Struthio camelus: one gene and its partner. The protein of the gene in region 2 purifies or fractionates together with the protein of the main gene of each other region. This does not show direct contact. Links are inferred from orthologs where the notes say so. Each region holds a gene or a part of one and is shown on either strand. Other genes may lie near its edges.

The links.
Region 1: the proteins of CDC5L (region 2) and CWC15 purify together in Homo sapiens (affinity purification with mass spectrometry; 4 studies listed by BioGRID and IntAct, with this or other methods). This does not show direct contact. The link is inferred for Struthio camelus from reciprocal best matches to the Homo sapiens genes CDC5L and CWC15.

What each region holds. Positions count from the first base shown.
Region 1 is NC_090942.1:211,880,781-211,891,088, forward strand, and holds the start of CWC15 (spliceosome-associated protein CWC15 homolog), read left to right. Parts: upstream 1-5,391; 5' UTR 5,392-5,400; coding exon 5,401-5,494; intron 5,495-8,119; coding exon 8,120-8,258; intron 8,259-10,308. UniProt on the Homo sapiens protein: Involved in pre-mRNA splicing as component of the spliceosome. Component of the PRP19-CDC5L complex that forms an integral part of the spliceosome and is required for activating pre-mRNA splicing.
Region 2 is NC_090944.1:13,116,042-13,126,801, forward strand, and holds the start of CDC5L (cell division cycle 5-like protein), read left to right. Parts: upstream 1-5,850; 5' UTR 5,851-6,092; coding exon 6,093-6,137; intron 6,138-8,578; coding exon 8,579-8,682; intron 8,683-9,596; coding exon 9,597-9,758; intron 9,759-10,497; coding exon 10,498-10,625; intron 10,626-10,760. Other genes in the region: zinc finger protein 493-like, read left to right, coding at 1-1,244.

The DNA.
Region 1 (10,308 bases), on a different chromosome or scaffold from region 2:
CCTCTCCTAGGCAGAAAGGGAATTTTTTTCCTGCTCAGTCTGTGCAAGCTATGCCCTGTTTGGCAAAAGACTGGCTCTCTCAGGAAGGGAGGCAAGGGGAAAATTCAAGCTCAGAGATTTCCATTCTGGCATGGACTCTCCACCCTGCTCAGGAAAAACGCCCACATGCTCTTCATGGTGTTACGCTGCTTTGAAAGAACAGATTGCATGCCCTGGTTCTGCACTCTAAGGGTGGGCAGAAGATGATCTCACAGTCCGCAGTGTTCAGGAGACCCAAGAATTCAGGAAAGAAAACTGCCCTGGCTAAAATCCCATTCTGATTCAGGAACTATCAGTGAAAATCAGCAATTAAAAATATGAGTAAAATTACAAATGGAAGAAAGGGGAAATAGATAGTGAAAAGTACATACGAGGAGCTTTAAAGAACAGAAAAAGGACACAGGAAGCAGGAAAAAAATCCCTGTATTGGCAAGGCTAAAGACAATAAAAGGCAGTTTTTAAAGTACATTAGGAACACAAGAAATCTTTATGGACCAGTTATAGGCCAAGAAGCAGATGAGAAAAACATTAACAACGACCCAAACAAGCAGAAGTCTATAAATGTTTTTATTCTCTTTTAGGAAGTAAGGTATTCGATAACCTCAAAGAAGGATCAGCATTTAGGAGAGATTCACATTTGCAAAAGTACAGGCATCCTAGCGTACTGAATGAGATAACTCAAGAACATTGGTCTCCTAGTGTTAGTATTTAATAAACTTTGAATACTGTGGAAACTCCAGAGACTAGAAGAATGTGGATATTGTGGGAATGAATGTCATTCTTCAATAGGAGCATGAGTTTAGTTGATAAAGTAACTGTGTAAATGTAATGAATTGAGAGTTCACAAAATGTTTCACTTGCAGTGAGCATCATTCTGATTGCAAAGTGGGTACTATGCAGTGTGTCTAATACCCCCTTCTGAATGAATTAGAACTAGAGACATCTCAAAAAGCAGTCACTTAACAGGGTTTTCTAACAGGACCCCACAGGGATCCTGTGGTCTCCGCTGTCCCGTTTGTAGCAATGATCCTGAGGCCAATATGAAATCGCACTGAGAAAAACTACAGGTACCATAAAGAATTCCAGATGGCAACTAAGAGGCTGTGCAAGTGACACCAGCAAGGGATTTCTTTTCAAGCCAGATACATTTGAAACAACCAGGAATTCATCTAGGAACAAAGGTCACACAGAACTTTCTAATTCAGAAAACAACGACTTTGAGAAGGATTTAAGAATCACCATGGACATGCCTCTGACCTTGAGCACCCAGTGTAGTGGAGGGTGTGAGGAAAAGGCCAACGAGATCCTTACATATATAAACAACTGTGCAGAAAGCTGAGGGAGGAAAGTGATCTAATCTCTCTAGCCAACACTACTGGGACTGATGTTGAAATACTTCTTATATTTCTAATGTGGATAAATTGGAGAGAGTGCAGGAAAGAACCTTCAAATAATTGGTGAGAGGAAGGAAATGCTTCTAAGAGACTAGAAGAGTCCAGTCTGCTTACTCTATCCAACGACAGTTGCAAGACTACATTACAAAGTATAAATACCTAGTGAGAAAATGGCCTTTTTAAATCAGCAGAGAAAGGCATAGCAGGCACCAGTGGTTGGGAGTAAAGCCAGATAAAACGGAATTAAAAATAAGGTGCATTTTTGAGCCATGAGGATAATTAACTCCTGGAGGACATTCTCAAGGGAAGCGGTGCATTCTCCTGCTTTTCGTGTTTCCATGAAGTACAGAATACCTCTCTAAGACGTGCCACAGCCAAACTGCTCAAACTGAAGGTGCATCCATGGTGCCAGCTACAGGCTACTGTGTGCAAAGGGATCCAAGGCTCATCGTGCCACAGGAAGAAAGCACTCTTTGCCTAGACCTGTTCTGTTCTTACAGCTACCGTGGGAAGGGGGAAGACCTGAGTTTTTGTCCTTATCTGGTTGTTTATTTTATCTGATCATGCTTTAATGTAAAATCGTAGAAACAGGGCCTGGGATCCAGGAACTTGCATTCGCATATGAGAGTTGACTGGTGCTCCCTGTCACACACACACTCTCTCAATTAATCTTTAATTCCTTTCTGCTCAGTGGAGCAGCTTCAAAAAGCGGTAGAGTGTGCCTAAATACCAAAGCCATCTGAGGCTGGATGACTGCTGGGGCAACGGTTCTCCAAATGCGAGGTCAGCCGTACTGGGGACAGGGACAGACCCTGAAGGAAAAGGAGTTATGAGAGGAGAACGGCCCTGAGGCTGCCTCCCTTCCCTCCGTCCCTTCCTGTGTGCAGTGCCAAGCTGAGTGAGATAGGGGCTATGCCACCTTGGCTGTCCCAACGATTCGGGCAAAGCATACTGCTTCTTCATGTACAAGCCCAGACGTGGTAGGGAAATGCAAGAGGAGCTTTGCTTTTCAGCAAAGGTGCAATTATTTTGGGCATCTCCACATAGGCAGGGACCAGCCAGTGTGAGAATAAAGGGTAAGCCACAGCAGAAGTGTGAGCAGATCCTAACATGCACTCACATCTTGAGGGGCTGCAGAAAACTGGCCAGGCAATGAGGCAACTCTGACCAAGTCCTCTGAAATATGACTGCTGCTCGCACAGCCTTCCTCACTGAAGATACAACTCCAGGAGCAAAGGAGGTTTAGAACAAGAGGTCAGTGAGGGGTTTAACACTCTTAAGGTTGTACAGAAAAGCTGAATGATGGGAGCAGGACATTAACCAAAATCTTTGTGACTGGTGGCTGTGAGCCTCTTCTTTAAGGTAGCAGAAGGCTGGGGAGGGAAACGGACCTGGAACTCCCGCTCCACAGGTGAGCACTGTAACCACTAAACTATCACATAAAAGTAGTTGGCTCTCCTACCAACAGTACTATTAAAAAAAAAAAAAAAAAACACTGACCAAAGATATATTTTTTGTCATACTGAGAGGCTGATCATGGTATCCACGAGTGCTGGACATGGTCTGAGAATAGTTACTGGATGAAAGCTCTCTGAGCACTTGAGCTAGGGAATATCTTGTTTCTGGATCCTATCAAGTCTCACTGTGAGCAGGATGCTAAACTTCTTAGACCAAAGGAGTTTAACACTGGACAAAACTCTTTACGTCTGGAGATCTTTAAAATCAAAAGTTGTGGACCTGTGAAGGTTAGATGCTTCCACAGCCTTTGCAGCAAGATCAGGTAGGGATTTTCAGGAGTCTGGACTTAGGCACCTCCATTCCACCAATATCCTACTTTAGCACACAAGTCTTTAAAGGATCCAGCCCTTTGACTCTTAAACACTTTCCTGTCTGTTTGTACTTCACATCTATACACACCCAAGTTAGAGGAAAGGAAGCACCTTGGTGTCGCGGAGGACAACTCTAGTCAAAGACATTAAGTCATTCCTTTCCTTAAAAAATCATTTTATCTACTCGAAGCAGGGATTATCCCAGCATTTGAGCTATGAAACTATGAATAACTCTGAAAATAATATCCATCATCACAGGATAATGCACTAAGCTGACAATCGGAATTCTTGACTCACTACTTGGGAATCTGGACTCCTCTGAGAGGTTTGATCTTGACTCTAAACTGCCTGCAGTGAAATCAATAGTAAAACCATTTCACGGGGTGCAGACTGAGGCTTGCAGATAAGAAAATGCAACAGTGGATGCCTGGCTATTGACAAGCGCAGCTCTTAGGAAGTGACACAGTAATTACTGCTTCTATTTACGTGACTGCTGAGCACAGCCTAAAATTGATGACAAGCTGCCCAAAATATCCTGTGTAAAACCTCTAACGTTATCAGAAAGTATTAGTAAACCTTCTTCTGCTGCCCACCAGAAGGGTAGCTGCCAGCCTGTCCCTTCCTTGGGCCTGGAAAGGCATAGTTGGAGGTGGAAGGGAGCGACCCTGTGCAGGGGGACAAACTCTCGGGAAACTATCCACGGGCTGCCAACAGGAAAAGCAGATAAACACGCCTTTCTCAGTGTGCCTTGTCGTTCATCGGTCAGGGCAAGCAAAAGCAGCAAAGAGAACAAGCCCCCAGAGGCAGGCTGCTCATCCAGGAACCACTTGTCCCCGTCCCAAGCTGCTGCCATCAACCCCAGCGGAAACGGCACGCACCTCACGGAGACACGGCTGCTTTTCAAACTCCCCTGGCACAACCTGAGCAGGGGACAGGGGGTTTCTTTGCCCAAGGGGGCCAGGGTGCTGCCTGGGGCGGGTGCCCCAGTGGGCTGCTCTGCGAGCAGCCCGGCCTCGGGGACCTCTCGAGGGCCTGGCCTGGCCCAGCCCAGCCTGGCATGGCGGGAGAGTAGCTCCCCGGGCAAGCGAGCGTGTCGGTAGCCTGGTACTTCCCACGTCGCCAGGCGAGTCCCAGCAGCCTGACCACGGGATGCGTCTAAAAGCGGCAGTGACGGGAGGAGAGAAAGGGCTGCTGAGGAGACGGCGTCTCTCCACTCACACCCCCAAACTGCAGCCTTTTAACGAGACGGCGAGGCAAATCCTCCTGCAGAGCAGCTGGATCAAGGTGCTGGGCTGGCCCTGGCCCTAACCCTAACACCAACCTCAACTCCCTAACCTCAACCCCAACCCCCTAACCTTCTAACCCCAACCCTCCCAACCTCACCCCCCCATCCTGACTCCCCAGCCCCCCAACCCCCCACCCCAACCCTAACTCTCCAACCCCCTAACCCCCAACCTCACCCCCTAACCACAACCCCCTAACGTCAACCCCTAACCCTCTAACCCCAGCCCCCTAAGCCCCAACCTCAACCCTCTAACCCCAACCCCCCATCCTGACTCCCCAGCCCCCCAACCCCCCACCCCAACCCTAACTCTCCAACCCCCTAACCCCCAACCTCACCCCCTAACCACAACCCCCTAACCTCAACCCCTAACCCTCTAACCCCAGCCCCCTAAGCCCCAACCTCAACCCTCTAACCCCAACCCCCCCAACCCCAGTCCCCTAACCTCAACCCCCTAAGCCCAACCCTCCAACCCCCTAACCCTCTAACTCCAACCCCTTAAGGCCATCCCCCTAAGCCCCTAACCTCAACCCTCTAACCCCAACCCCCTAGTCCCCCAACCCCAGTCCCCTAACCTCAACCCCCTAACCCCAACTCCCTCATCTCAACCCCCAACCCCAATCCCCCTAACCCCAATCTGCCCCGGGGCGCTGAGCCGAGGCGGTAAGGTGGGGGCGACCACCATCGCTACACAGGCAACAGCGAGGCTACCACCACGGCGCCCACTTCCGCCTCGGTAGCCATCATGGCGGGCTCTTGGCTCGCCGCGGTCACGTGGCAGACGCTTTCCTTACGCCGACCCTCTCTATGGTAGGTTCTCTAGCAGCAGCTGCGGCGACTTCCGCTGGGTGTGTCTATGGTTTCCCGCGCGGTGCCTTGTGGGCACTCGGCGGGATTATGGTGGTGGTGTAGGGCTTGTTTGCGCAGGGCGGGTGGAGGCCGCGGTGTAAGTATGTGGGGGAGACGCGGTTCTCGCTGGGGAGGGGGGCGAGATGGCCTGCCAGGGGCCAGGAGTGCGCCTGGGGCGGTCCCTGGGGCGGTCCCTGGGGCAGCGGAGGGGGTAGGGGCCCAGTCCGGATCGGGCCGGGCCCGGTGCGCTAGAGGAGCGGCCGGGCTTCGGCTGGGCCAGGGAGCGCCGCGGCGTGAAGGGGCCTGAGGAAGGGGCGGCTGCGGGGGGGGGGGGGGGGGGGCAGGAGGGAGAGGGCCCGGAGAGAAGAGCGGGGGCGATTTGGGGGATGGCTGTGGTTGGGAAAGAGGGAGAGTGCCCGGGGAGAAGGGTGGAGGGTGATTTGGGGGCAGAGTGAAAGGGTGGCTGTTCAGTGGTCTCTGTGTTCAGCTCTGAGCAGCGTGCCTCGGTACTATTTGGCATAACCTTCCTTTGTGCAGCTCAAACACTGAGTTTAAAATAAAAAGCAGAAGCCTAGTTAGAGCGGTGTAAGAGGCAGGGAGCAAAGTGATGGTGCAGCATTGGTCGTACTGAAATTTTAGATTCTTACGTTGTGATTTCAGGTTTGGGGGCTGTTATGAGTTCCAGTGCTCGTGTTCAGGCTCTGTGGTGAATGTAGTGGGGATGGGTTCAGCAGGATTGTTAGCCGCAGGCATAGTGCTGTACGGGCACGTTCTGTACTGCTGGGGCAGTTCAGCTCCAGGCTTAGTTAGCCCAGCCACTTTCTCTTGGCTTAGCAGTGAGCTGGTAAACCATGCTTGGCCAGTCCTGGCCTCATGTAGTGCTAAAATGGATTTTTCAGTAGGCTGTATTTCTGAAACTTAAGAGTTTCTGAAACTTAAGAGTGCAGTGCAAAGGTCCCTGAGTTCAGGTCTGTTAAGGCCAAGCCAAACTCAGTCTGACCTCAGAAAGAGTCAATGGGGAGCAGGGACAGGTTCCAGAATATTTTTTAGTGTTTCATGAAAGTATACAGCCAGACTAGATCTGGTTCTGCCTCTGAACTAATAAATCCCTGCTGTTACTGATAATTGGTTCAGATAAGACTTGAGAGCAAATGGCTTTCTCAGATTATGGGTCTGGTAGAGTCTGCACTGAGCCAGACCTAAAAGAGCCTGCTGGGCTCCAGGTGACTTGCCCATTGTCACTGATGTGTGTCTGCAGTGGTTGGTCAATGAGCCAAGGCTAGTTACCATGTCAGTATTACCTTCTCACTGCTTTTTAAAGATATTTGTGTCTGTTAACTTTGTCCTGAATAGTAGTTCAGTGGCAGTAATAATGTTCTCTGTGGTGGTATGTTCCTATTCATGTTAAAATTAGAAAACATTTTTGTCACTGAAGTGATGCATTTTCTGGCCCTTTAAAAGTGAAAAATGAACAAAAATGCAGGTACAGCATAAACAAATTACCCTTGTTTGTGATAGCAAAAAAGCGTATCTTATTTTTTCTTCTATTTAATATTGTTTAAAATAATTTCTTGTTGTCCTTTACTATCCAACCTTCCACTTGGTAGGCTGGTGCCTTTATGTATTTCTGCGCATGTCTCTCTCTTGTGTCTTAGGTATCTTTAGTCTGTGGTTAATGGATGTGCATGTCTTTGTGAATCAGAAGTGAGGATAGTTGCAGATAACATATTTGAGATGATGCTGTTTGATCATCCAGGGTTTTTTTGCATTGGTTATCCATCTTAAAATTTTGGTGTAGTGGGGTGGGATTGCAGTGTCCAGCTCCTGTCTGGCAGTTTTGAACGCAGTGCATGCTGACAGGGTCTTTGTGTGGTAGAGGCTGATTTGAGTCTCTTTCACTCCTTTGCCACAGGAGAATTTACAGTAGCGATTCTTGGCCTCAGTTTTTTCATTTTTAGGGACGTGCTGGTGATATGTGGGTTTCTAAATGAGAGCTGCTGAAAACTTCCTTCTTTGCCTGAGCTAGAATACTTTTTTTTTTTTTTTTTTTTTTTTGTAATGTAACAGTAAAGTTGTCAGGCTTCTGCTACCGGAGGAACATTAACCCTGTCACACTTAAAACAAAAACTTTTTTTTCCTGGTCACCTGGAGCTCTGCATAAGTCAGTTCCAAAAAACTGTGCTGCGTTGTTGATGTCAGTGCTGTGCCTGCCCTAAATAGGGCCAGGAGAAGGGCTAGTGCATTCAGGATATGTGACCATCCTAATTTAATTGTCAACACCATTCTGGACATACTGTGGTCCATGTCAACCAGTACTTGCAGTGATGATAGCTGGATACAGTTTGGGTGATAACGGAGGGACTATTTCCAGTAGGCAGTATGAATGAGGCTGTCATTTCTGGGGAGAAGAAAGAGTTAAGTTACGTAGCTGCAGCCTGTGCTGTACCATTTGCCTGGAGGATGGGAGAGAATAACTCATGACCTGTTTTATTTACTTCTAAAACAAAGCCTCAGATTCTCCCTGTGCTTCAACTTTCAGACATGTTGGAAAAGTTTTTCAGTTTTGAAAAACTGAATAGGTTCTGTCAATCGTGTGCCAAATGATAGCTTGTTTTGGGTAGTGGGACTTGTCATTGCTGCTACAGTTCCAGGAACAATGTAGTTTCTAATGAATGGCTTTCATTATAAGCTGTAGTAATGACCCTTTTTTGCGTTTGATTCTATAGTAATTAAAATGACCACAGCAGCAAGGCCAACGTTTGAACCTGCAAGAGGAGGACGAGGAAAAGGAGAAGGAGACTTAAGTCAGCTATCCAAACAATATTCCAGCAGAGATCTTCCTTCTCATACTAAAATCAAATATAGGTAAGTTTTGCTTTTCGTTCTGTGCTCTTGGAAAACAGGCTGGGGAAGGTTTTCTTTTGCAAAAGCTGCTCTGAGGTTTTTCACAATAGATATTCATGTGCTTGACACTGAGCAGACACCAGATAGCGTGCAGCACTGCTAAATGAGTGGGCTACAATTGTAAGTCTGAACAGCAGACTTAGAAGATTGAATGGATTGCAAATAATTGCAGAGGTTTAATTTAACTTGTGTTTATTACCGTTTATGGAAGTGAATAACCTGAAGAGGCTTTGGAGACAAAGCATTTCAGGCAGTGCAGTCAAAAGAAAAGCATTAGGAACAGTGGGAGTTAACTGAGCCATTGAGGATGCTATCACTTATAAAGCTAGATGGGGTAAGAAGTGTGAAGGTGACCACATCTTAAAAGCAGGAATAACACATCTTGTATTTGGCATGGAACCACTAGTGAAAAGATTTAACCAGAGGCAGGGAAATAATGGAATAACATTGGGGCACTGGCTTATGCTGGAAGGGCTGATGTTAAACGCTACAAGTATTTCATGCAGGTACCAGAAAAGGAAGTTGCTTTAATCAGTATGAGAGATAATAGAATCTTGTGTAAATATTCTCCTCTGTTTCAAATGCATAATAAATCTTCATTATCATTTTGAAAGATATATTGACTCTAAATTTCACTATGATACAGACATGTAGAATTTAAAGGAGATGCATCAGCCTGGAAATGGTTTTAAACAACTGAAGTTATTCTTTTCAGTGAAACTGCTGTTAAGGTTTTATGTTTACGCTTTCTATGTGCAGATGTTCCTCCTTACACCGCTCCCTCCAGACCCATTGATTTTGAAGAATACATATGGATAAGGGAGTTAGTGTTTTGGAGAATACAAAATCAGTAGCACAAAAAATGCTATCAAATGCCCATTCATTATTATGGAAAAAATTACTCGTGCCCCTTTAAACAGAAGTGGGGTGTGGAACACCATATGCTTTGAGAGAAGTTGGGGGGGGGGAAATTATATATATATGTATATATATACATACATACACATTCACAAACTATATTTTAACAAATACCTTAACTTGGTGGGGGTTGGGTGGGGATTCTTTTATTCTTCCTCCCAAGTACCTAATGCAAAATTACCTTTGTTAAATAGCAGGACTGCATCATTACAAGAAGGGTTCAGTATTTCAGGCCCTCTTGTGCTTGCCTGAGTGACACAGAGTTTTTGGGGATTTTTGCAGCTTAACTGGGGATTCCAAAATCAGATTTTTAATTACAAGAGCAAATGAAATACTTCATGAAATACTTCCCTGTGAGGGTGACAGAGCACTGGAACAGGTTGCCCAGAGAGGCTGTGGAGTCTCCTTCGCTGGAGATATTCAAAACCCGTCTGGATGTGATCCTGGGCAATATGCTCTAGAGGTCCCTGCTTGAGCAGGGAGGTTGGACTAGATGATCTCCAGAGGTCCCTTCCAACCTAAACGATTCTGTGATCATAAAGATAGGCTGTGCGCACAGCCTATTTATAGTGGCTTGCATCTGGGCTTCTTCCCTCTTATTTTTTCCCCTCTTATTTCCAGGACTGGGTTCACAGAAAGGTGAAAGGAATTGCTTATTTTTATTCATTAATTCTTTTAGATTTCCACAGAGAATGTGGTGCTCTCTGGATAGAATTTAATGAAACTCAAGTATAATATTCTGCTGGTTTTGGCCTGCATGTTTTATATGTAAGAGGAAGAATATGTATTTATAATACAGTTTACTGAAGTTAGTATTTTCTTTGGTTCCCCCCCCCCCCCCCCAGTTTTTCTTTTTAAGAAGCATGGGCGTTATCTGATATATCTCTTGGGGCAAGGGTTTAAAAAAAAAGTATGCTCTGATTTTGATCTTGTCTGTAAGGCCTCAGAAGCCATGTGTGTGCAGCAGTAACTTGGGATGGTCTAACTGTGTAAGGGAAGCTCGCCAGAAGGCTGATGTATATTGGACTTGGATCTGTTGCAGAATAGCAGAAGACTTAGAAATACCTACAGGATGTAGATAGTCATCCTGTTT
Region 2 (10,760 bases):
GGGACTGTGTTTCTCTACCTCTTTCTGACAAAGAAGACGATCATCCAGCTGGGGGAATGTGTAAAATGCTGGTTTCAGAATTAGACTTTAGGCAGGCAGGTGACATGTGGGACAATAAGAAAATGTGCTCTGGAGAGAAATTCCCTGAAAACAGCTATGGAAGCAACAGTTTGCCGGTTGTTGAGAATGGATCGGAAGTTCTTCCAGACTCATGCACAACAGGCACTGTGATTTGCAAAGAGGAACCTCTCTTCAGCCCTGAGGCCACTCATTCACAAGTTCGAGATGATAATGAAGATGATACAGACCATAAATTTGTGGAAAAGTTTAAGGATACATGGCCTTCCAGTTTGTCTTCATTCAGAATGTACAAGTGTAAACAGTGTGATTATGCTACTGCTGTTTATAGCAACCTTAAGCTGCACCTAAGAATACATAGACATGAAAGACCATTGGGGTGTAAAGAATGCAATAAAACATTTAGAACTTTAAGCCATTTGCAGAGACACAACTGTCTTCATGTGAAGAATCAATATGAGTTTGACCATTGCCTCTGTGTAGATAGCCATTTAGAGGATCTTGAATTGCACCGTGAAATGCATGTAGGCGTGTGTCCAGAAAGAGATTTTGGTTCTTCGGAACGTTTGAGCAGTGTCCATTCCTTGCTTTGTTCGGAAGCATGTGGAGAACAGACAGATGTCCAGAGGAACAAAGAAAGTGATTTAGCAGCACAAAGTCAGCCGCGGTTCTATAAGTGTGCAGAGTGCGAGTACACTACTTACATTTTAAGCAACCTTAAGCTGCATGTAAGAACTCATACAGGTGAGAAACCTTACAGCTGCAGTGTTTGTCAGAAGAAGTTTCGTACTTCCAGTCACCTGAAACGACACAAGGTCATGCATTTTAATGCAGAGCATCTCAAATGCAGGAACTGTGACTATTCAACAGACAAATGGCTATCCTTGAAACAGCATCTGGCTTCACACTCTGATAAGGAAATCTCATCTACTGGCAGTCTCTATGAACAAAAAGCACTACCTGTCAAAACATACACATGTGAAGAGTGCGGCTATACCACAGTCCATAATGGAAACTTTAAGCAGCACTTGAGAATTCATACAGGGGAGAAGCCATTCAAGTGTAGTCAGTGTACTGTTTCATTCCGCACATCTAGCCACCTGAAGCGCCACTTGCTAACTCATTTAAAGTTACACTGCAAAAGGTGTGACTTTTACGATAGATAGATATGCTACGCAAAAGCATGTAAAAACGCACAAAGGTTAAAATGTACAAAGTGCAAAAAATGTGATGTCACGTTTTCTACCAAAAAGCTTCTGGAAAAGCATAAATGGCAACATTTAAAAGCTGGAACATAAGCATGGATTTTGCAAGCAAGGTCTCAGTTCTGTAGAGCTGTACATGTTTTGAATTTATTCATTGTTTTGTGTTCATGTGCTGTCCCCAGAATGATAGCTGATAGTGGGTGCATCTAGTCTTTTTGGTCCAGAGAATAAAATCGAGATTGTCTTGCTCCTGGCTCTTCTGAGAGCTTTGGTTCCGGCAAAGGATGTGCTAAAGAAGTTCTTGAAGGCACGTTTTCATGCTTGAGCACTTTTTCTGTTCTCTAAGGTCGGAGCTACGTTTTGCCCTATGCTCATCAGTTGAAACACCCTCATAGAAGGGTTATCTTATTCTATTTCACCTTTTTTTTTTTTTTGGTAGCTAAACTGGAGTCTTGTTTAGCTGAAAGAATGTTTAAAGGGAGGGGAGTGTGTTTTACGTTGCGAAGTAGTAACTTTCGAATTAAAAATTGTCAATGTGGTTGGAGGCTTAATGTTCCCTCCTGTCTGCTGAAACTTGCATTCCCTCCTGTAAGGTTCTCTTGCAACAACTGCAAGAGAACGGATTAGAAGTGTTTCACAATATTACTGAAACAGATTCATGTAATCACTGGATAATTGGGATATGAAAGTCTTTTATGTATATATATATATATATGTATATATGAAAAGGTTGTTAGGCACTTAATCTTGTCTGTAATTATCCCTGATAATTCTTTGAGTAGTCTGACAGAAATGGTAATGTAATCAGATCTTGTGAGATACTGAGAAACTTCAAATCCATCTTTATGAATTTTATTTAGATGCCTGATATTAATCTAGTATGAAATGCCTTATCTTTTCTCAGGTTGCTAAATGCAGTTACGGTGCTCCTTGCGGGAAAAAAAAATCATAGCATCTCTTTTGAGAAACAATATTTCTGTTAATTTAGGCACTTCCTTACATATTGCAAATACTTCTTGGATTGCATTGAAAACTTCAGCAATATCTTGAACTGTCAAACTTGCTTGTTAATATGAGAGATTTATTCTGCCTCTGAAATGACATGTATAATGACATATATCAAACTGTAGTTATTTAATAGAAATACATTATGGTGAAGACTGAATGAGATGGATGTTTCTTCCACTTTGTAGTCAAGCTTGCTTTGAGTTATACAGCGCTAGAGACTGTATGGAAGCCGCTAACTATATGTTCAATGGTATTTATAACAGCAGTGCTATCTTGTGTGGGGGGAAAAAAAGATAATGGCAAAGGATTGATACTAATTACCCTTTTCATGTTATAGTTCAGTCCATGAAACAACAGAGTAAGCCTGAAGCTTAATTTAGAGAATGTTACCATGAACTACTACTGCTATGTTACTGCTCTCAAATTTATGCTTTTCTTTGTTAATATAGGTGATACCTTGGAGAGGCTCTTTGGCAAAGTAGAAAAGCAATTTGCAAGAAGAGTGGACTGAAACTTATCAGTGGGTGCATGCACCTAAGGCTAGATCAACAAAGGAATTTAAATGATCTAGTTCTCTTTGATTTCAGTAAAATCAGGCAATTAAATGTTTGTGACCATGAACCTTAGTGATGTTACAGATATTTTTACTATAAGCTGGGAAGTCACCATTTGGAAATGCAAGAAGAAAGATTCTGATCTTAGAATGACTGAACTAACAATTGGTTACAGCTGTGAGAAGTAAGTTAGCTTAGCATGAATGTGGCAAAGCGTTTCTGGGAAATATTAACACTATTATGCAACCATGGTTGACTTTATTTGAATTTCTCTGGAATTCTGACAGCGTATTTGAAGAAAATAAAAAAAGAACAGGTGCAAAGAAGAGATACAAAAATGATGACAGAATTGAAATTCTGTGCATCAGGTGAAACTATGAAAACAAAATCTGATAAGGAATAATTACCTGTTTATAAGTATGTTTTAAATAAACTGAGCTCCCCTTTTCTCCGTTAAGGGATAAATACACTGTGAATTAAATCAGACAGGACACACAGTAAACACTGGAAATTTCTTTTAGTGGCAAGTAAGGAGAACAGAAGACATTCTCAGATGGAGCTTGATAAGTTTGTAAAAATAACTTTTTAGGTGGCTACCTCTAATTTAAAAAAAAAAACAAAAACAAAAAAAAAAGACTCATGAGGTTCCCCTCTGTCCTTAATTCTTTCCTAGTGCAAATGCACTGTCCTTCATAGAATTAGAAGTTTAAACCTAAAGTAAACCTAAATTTAAACGTAAATGCATATCTACTTTAAAATAAGGGCATTGGCTATTTCTAACGAGCAAAAAAATAAAAATCAAAGGTGTAATATTTTTGTCCTTGCAGAGTTTTAGCAAGAAGCAAAGTCTTTTCTAAATCATACTATGATATCTTTTACTTGAACCAAAACATTATCTTGGTGATTTTTTTTTAATTAACACATCCTGAATTTGGATAAAACAGTAAAATGCAATAGCATTAGTGACCCATCTCCTTGAGCAAATATATGGAGATCATTTTATCTGCTCCATGTCTTCTAAACAAGTGAATAATAAAGTTAAACTTGAGGTGAAATAAATGAATATAGGTGAGTTAGACCATGCTGCAATACTTGTAACCAGTTTTATATACAGCACATGGAAGGAAATAACGTTTTTTTTTTTTTTTTTTTTTTAGCTTGGAAAGTAAAAACTGTCCCATGCTGTTTTCCTCAGGCTCAATCCAGTGTCCCTAGGGGAGAGAAAATTACTAAATTTTAGTAATAAAGCTTTCACTTGGGCTTTTAAAATTGTGGGTGAACTGAGAGAAGAAAATACACAGAAAAGTGTGTTTAAAAAAAAATACTTTTGAAGGAGTCTTTGTGGACCAGATAATGTATGCTTCTTTCTATTGCCTCACATACCAGAGGCCTTTTGGATATGAGGGCATAGAGATAAGAAATAGGCATTCCTCAACTTCCCTTACACTTTGCAGTAAAGATGGGGGGGGGGGGTGGTTTGTGTGTGTAAGAAAAAACTTTTGCTATCCAGCTTTAAAGGCGTGTGTCTAGTTTATAAATCGAATATAGCATTAAGGAAGGCTTGTACAGTCTTGGCAAAGGAGAAACTTGTGCAGGAGGAGGGGAGAAGGAAGCTTGTTGTTCATTCGGTTCTCTCCTTAAAGGACTCGGCCAGGAGATAGAGCAGTTAAATAAAGAGCTCATTTTGTTCCCATAACTGTAGGCTAACTTGCTGAGGGCTCTCCTATTAGAGAAGGGAATTGCAGCCGACTTAGCTTCAGCTTAGCATAAGCGCCTAAAGCAGGTGAAGCCTGCAGGCCGCGGGACTGAACTGTAACCCAAAGAGCATTGCTGGCAACGTGACTGCAAAGTAAGCTAAAACCAGCCCTCAAGGGCACAGAGTGACCAGAGGTAACAGCTGACCTTTGGATAAGATAAGGTGCAGGAACACAGCAGCCGTCCCGGGATGTAGATGTGAACCAATCAGAGGGAAAGAGACCACCGACTCAGCAAAGAAGATTGGAAGAGACTATCACTGGCAGATGGGAAAATAAAACTGTAAAAAGTATAATTACTTAAGTATTCTTTTGTTCTGGGTCCATCCCCAGAGGCACCCAGCTCGAGCTGTTGCCCTGTCATACCATCCTTTAATTAAATGATTTTGCTGTTGTACGTGTGTGAGACTCTGCTCCTTGGAAACCTAGCGTCAAACTATTTCTACAACATCTCCAGCCTTTCAGCCTAATGCGATCTTGACCTAGCAGACAAGAATTGCTTCTCAAAGGCAAGAATCCAGACTATGCATATGATTGGGGTATCAAAAGGAGAGAGGGGGATTCTTTTCTGAAGCCTGGCTTCTGCGAGGTTTAGATCCGTAATCCTGTGAAATAGGGCTGAAAGCCCAGCTGCCTTTTTTTTTTTGTTTAGTAACAGTAACAGCTGCAGGAACAGTGGATTAGACAATGTCAACAAGTTGATTAGGATGGGAAGCATACTAGCAACTTGGTTCATTAGTGCCTAATAGGGAAGTTCAGCCTCAGGTTTTTTTTTTTGGTTTGGTTTTGTTTTTCTGATTATTGGAACGGAAGATCTGAAACCTTATGTAAACAGTAAGGAAGCTTTGCAGTGAAGACTGCAATACATAAGAGTTCAATAAACAATGATAACAGAAAAAGGACGGGTGAAGAGGTGCAGGGGCCTGAAATGTAAGATTTAAGTAACTCTTAAAATCTGGACATCAGTGTTCCAATTTTCACTCGGGCTGCCTTGTGTTAATGTGGATTTTTTTTTTTCCAAGATACTTTAGCAAAACACATTGTAAAAGTAAGACTGGTGAAATCTTACACAGCAGAGGACAGAAAAAAATGATCAGATTAAAAAAAAAAAAAGGTTAAAAAAAACCCCAAGCCTTTTCGCCGCATGGAGTTTTGTTCCGCCTCTTCGAAGCAGCCCCCGGGCGGCCACGCCCCCTCTCCTGGCCACGCCCTCGAGCCCCGCCCAGACGGCTCTGCCGCCCTGGGCTTGGCGCCTGCGCAGAGCCCCAAGCCTGGCGTCGTCCCCGTTGCGCGTGCGCGAACGGTGCCGTCCCCTCCTCCCCCCCCCCCCCCCGCGCAGCCGTTACGGCCTCCCCTTTGCGCCTGCGCCGAGCGCGCGCCTTTCCGCGGACAGCGCCTGCGCCGCGTCTCGGCCGGCCCGGCTGTGACGAGCGGCGTTTCCGTGCTTTCACCCCTTTTTCCTCTGCCGAGCTTGGTACCCCTTCGCCGCCAAGATGCCGCGGATTATGATTAAAGGCGGTGTGTGGCGGAACACCGAGGTAGGAGCCGGTTCGCTTTAATATCCTCCCCCCCGGGTTGGGGCCTCCTCCGGGATTGCGGGGGAGGGGGAAGGGGGGGGGGTCACCCTACATTAGTGCGCAAGCGCTGTGGGAGCGGTCGTGGCGCGCATGCGTGGAGGGGCTTCCGTAGTAGGGTCGTTTGCCTCCACGGCGGGGATGGGAGTTTGGGGTCTTCCTTATTCCTCTCTAGCGGGGGAATAAAGGGTTAGGGCTTTAGAAGTACCGCGGCTCTGGTAGGCTTGCTTCCCCTGCAGACTGGACCCCCCTGTTCGTCCCCTGGCCTGGTCGGCAGAGGTCGATTCAGTGCTGTTTCTCCTGGGGGTCATGTGTTTGGGGGGGGGGGGGAGGAAGCTCGGCCATGCGTAGCTCCTGGCACGCAGAAACCGCCCCCGCAGCAACTCGAGCTTCTCCGTGGATCCACCTGCACCTCGCCCTGCTCGGAGGTGTCGCTTTTCTAGGTTGGAACTTGTCCTGTACTGCATGGGCAGGGTTCTTACTCACTTGGGATATGAAAGAGCTGGAGTTCGTTCCTCTTGGAGACCCTTCCTAATGCAGAAAAGCTGAAGATAGGTATGGGCTCTTCATCTGCAGCCCAGAGTGTTTTGGGCAGAAGAATCTGTGTTGGCCGGAGTTTGAATGCACAAATGTTTCCCTGTGTCTAAAGAAAAGAAGATGATCTCTACCCTGTTTTTGCCCTCACGTTTCTTTCAGAACTATAAATAATAGTGAAAAAGAAAACAATAGTGCAAGAATTAGAGATTTCAGATTAATTTCGCTAGGTGCCAGGTTCAAAGCAAAGGAGATACTTACTTACTTACTTACTTACACAGTAAACTGTAGAACTCTGCTACTGTATACTGTGGACACTAAGTATTTACATAGTTTCAAAGAGCAGTAAGAAAAATTAATGGAAGATAAATGTCCTATGTTCTCTTAAACACCTATGCTATATAGCAGCTCTGCATCAGGAGGCTGTTGAGTTGCAGGTCAGTGGAGGAAAAGAAGTACTGCTGTGTACGTGTGCTGTTCTTATCATCTTCCATAGCTGATGAATTTTGGCAACTGTTAGAGAAACAGCAGTGGGTTAAATGGATCGTTGTTTCACCCGCTTTTGTATATCAGAGATGAAATAGAAAGCTCTTGTATTTACTGCTATTTTTATGATTAATGTAATGTGAATGTACAACATTAAAAAATACAAAAAGCGGAACTAATTGACGGTCAAAAAAATGACCGATTACTGGCAAATCGGTCTGCTATTGTCATCAGTATGGCTACTGCATGCGATTTGACAGTGAGTAGAATTCAGAAACCGAGAGAGGATTTATGGAAATTTGGGGCTTTTTTAATAGAGATTATATGAACTGCTTCCTGTAGCATCTCAAGCTGAAGCTCATTAGTTTGCAGTTGAAGCTGCTGTGCGCTGTGGGAACTGTCCGCGCTAGACAGCGAGTCTGTCACTGACGACTAGCATCTGCACTGTGCAGCCAAACAGATTCTGAGCAAACTACGTGATCTTATTGGATATAGAATAACATTCGTGGTTGACAAGGCTATAAAGAATAGCTGTGAAGTATTTAAAATACCATTTTCTGAATTGTGGGGAGACCAGAAATAATGAAGCCGTTTTTGTGGAGAAAGGGAGAGAGGAATGGATGGATGGGTTGACAAGGCAATAATTACAATTTTTAGCTTTTGATCATATCTCTATGTGTATAGTTTGATATATATGAACAGCCTGGCCTCCAAGCTGAGGTAATCCTAACTGAATCCATTACGTATTTTTCCCCATAAGCTTGTAAGCTTTCGGATCAGCATTTCTGGATGTAGCATTCTAAACATTTCAGTGGTTTATTTTAGGATTTATTTAGAATAGAGGAACTTCATATTTTGTGGTGTATTTTTTTAACAGCTTTTTCCATTTATAGGTGAATATTCCATCGCAACACAGGTTTGCATTAAAACTTGCAAAAAAACCCACTTCAGGGCGTTATTTAAAACAAGCCACCTCAGAGGATCTATCCTAATTTTTTTTTTAATGTTCTATCACTGTCAAACAGATAAACACCTCCCTGCCTCTTTATTACTATTCTTTGAAAAAGACCTACAGAACCATCAAAAACTGCATGCGTAAGAACGTTGAAACTATTAATTTTGAAAGTTCTGTCAAGCCTGCGAAGTAGGCCGCAGTGATCATTCCTAGTCTTTTTCATTCAGTCTCTATCAATTTCAGTGGGTTTTGGAATACAAATTCTCATGCATCTTGAAATAAAATGTGGAAAAGAAGCAGTAGTGCTTTGTCGTTTCTAGTGGGTCAGCCCTTTTTATGAAACTTACTGCATTCTCTTCTGCTTCAGCTGAGTCTTTCCGCTTTGCGAGTTTTGGTGATCCATAACAATATACATAATTTCTGTTTTAAGGATGAAATTCTGAAAGCAGCTGTGATGAAATATGGCAAAAACCAGTGGTCTCGTATTGCTTCTTTATTGCATAGGAAATCAGCAAAGCAGTGCAAAGCCAGATGGTAAGTGAGAAATACCATGACTGGGAATATGAAATTCATAGTTACTGTGAATTTAGAAGTTACTGAAGATTGATTTATGCCCATAGAGGAACAGTGATTTTAGTTTGAGTTCCATTTCTGTGGTTATTGCAAATTCCTATTGCTTAAAAGGAATATGAAGAAAAATAGCCAAGCGTTCACTTTGCAAGTGATGGCAGTGTCCTCAAGTACAGAATCACCGAATTTACATACATAATTTTTCTTCTGTATTTACAGGTGTTTTAAATCAAAAGAACTGCTTTCAATGAAGTATAATTGTCAAATAATTATTTACAGATAATTTTCTATTTTTTTGATGAGTTTGGCATGAGGATCAATATTTAGAAATTACACTGCCATATTTCAAGTTACATCAAAAATGGTAGCATAAAAGCGATGCAAATAATGCAGCATGAATCCACTTAAGGATCAGACTTAGTTTCTCAAGTATTGAGCTGCACATACTTCTCAGAATGTTTCTGCGTAAAGGTAACAGTACTGACACAGTTAAAGATAAATAAGACAACTCTTAGAAGGATCCAGACCAAACAAGTCTACCATTTTTGGTAACTTTGGTTTTTGTGAGTCTTACCTTTCTTTTTCCGAGTTAATTTTGTGACTCTGCTTTGTCAGAAGAGAGAAAAGGAATGGAGGAAGAGGCAGTATCTGTAGGAAAAGTGGTGGGTTAATAATACGTTTTAAAGTTCAAATACTTATATCATGAAAGTACGTTGTAGTAACATCCTTTTATACCAAAAAAAGTCTTAAATATGTATATGTGTCAAGATTACGAAATCTTATTGTAGTGATGCTCAAAAACACTGTTATAAGTTAATTTAAGATAGATCAATGGATAGCTTGCAACTGTCCCTCTTAACTATTGAACTTTTTAACAGGTACGAGTGGCTAGACCCAAGCATCAAAAAGACAGAGTGGTCACGGGAAGAAGAGGAGAAACTCTTACACCTGGCAAAGCTGATGCCCACCCAGTGGAGAACCATTGCCCCAATTATTGGAAGAACTGCTGCACAGTGTTTGGAACACTATGAATTTCTGCTGTGAGTTACTGTTCTGCTAGAGGTGCATAACAGGAAAATCTGTGCAGTTTGTTGTATTGCTGTGTCATTCTCTTCTCCCAGGATGCTGCAGTACAGTGGTTTCAAGTTGGCTGAGGTCTTTTGTAAGCAATCCTTCCATTTTTGGTTCACTTGGGAGTTTTTTTGACTGGCTGATCAGCGTGAGTGTGTGTGTGTGTGTATGTATGACAGACAGACAAAGACAGGAAAAAAGACAGAAAAGACATTATTGGAATGTCTGAATGTGCAGCCATTATCTTAGTACAATGCAGAGAGTTTCTTTGGGGCAGGAGAAGAGAAGGAAAGTACTGTCTTCTTTTGTGAGCTTTTTTAGTTCTGATGTGATTGGTAGTATTTAAAAGCATAACGGGAAACTCTTGAGTATTCATGCTGTCACACTGCTTGATTTCTTGTTGAACTTTAACAGATTACAAGAGCAGAGTTCACTACTGTCAACTTTGTCAATTTTGTATTTTATATAATATTACGTTGTTGTAGTATAATATTATGTAGTTTCTTTCTGCTAACTTAACAATTATTTAGGTAACTGTACCATGTTTGTGAATCTTTTCTGCAGTGAGTAATTGTGTAAAGTTTACTGTATGGTATGGTGCAAGCATATTTTTCTCGGTCAGTCTATGGGATGTTCTAAGGAAGAGATGGCTGTTGTCAGGCCGGGGAAAACAGAAAGTTAATTGTGATATATATGATGCATTTTCAGGGACAAAGCTGCTCAGAGGGACAATGAGGAAGAAACTGCTGATGATCCTCGGAAACTTAAACCTGGAGAAATTGATCCAAATCCAGAAACCAAACCAGCCAGGCCAGATCCTATTGATATGGATGAAGGTAAGAAAGGAATTTATTTATTGTTTTTTACAGAAAGCTGATCTCTGGAATTTTTCTTTTTACACACTTGTAACCATAAGAAAATCCATAATGGAAAAATGGGAACAAAATTTTTTTTCTTATTTTTCCTTCAGA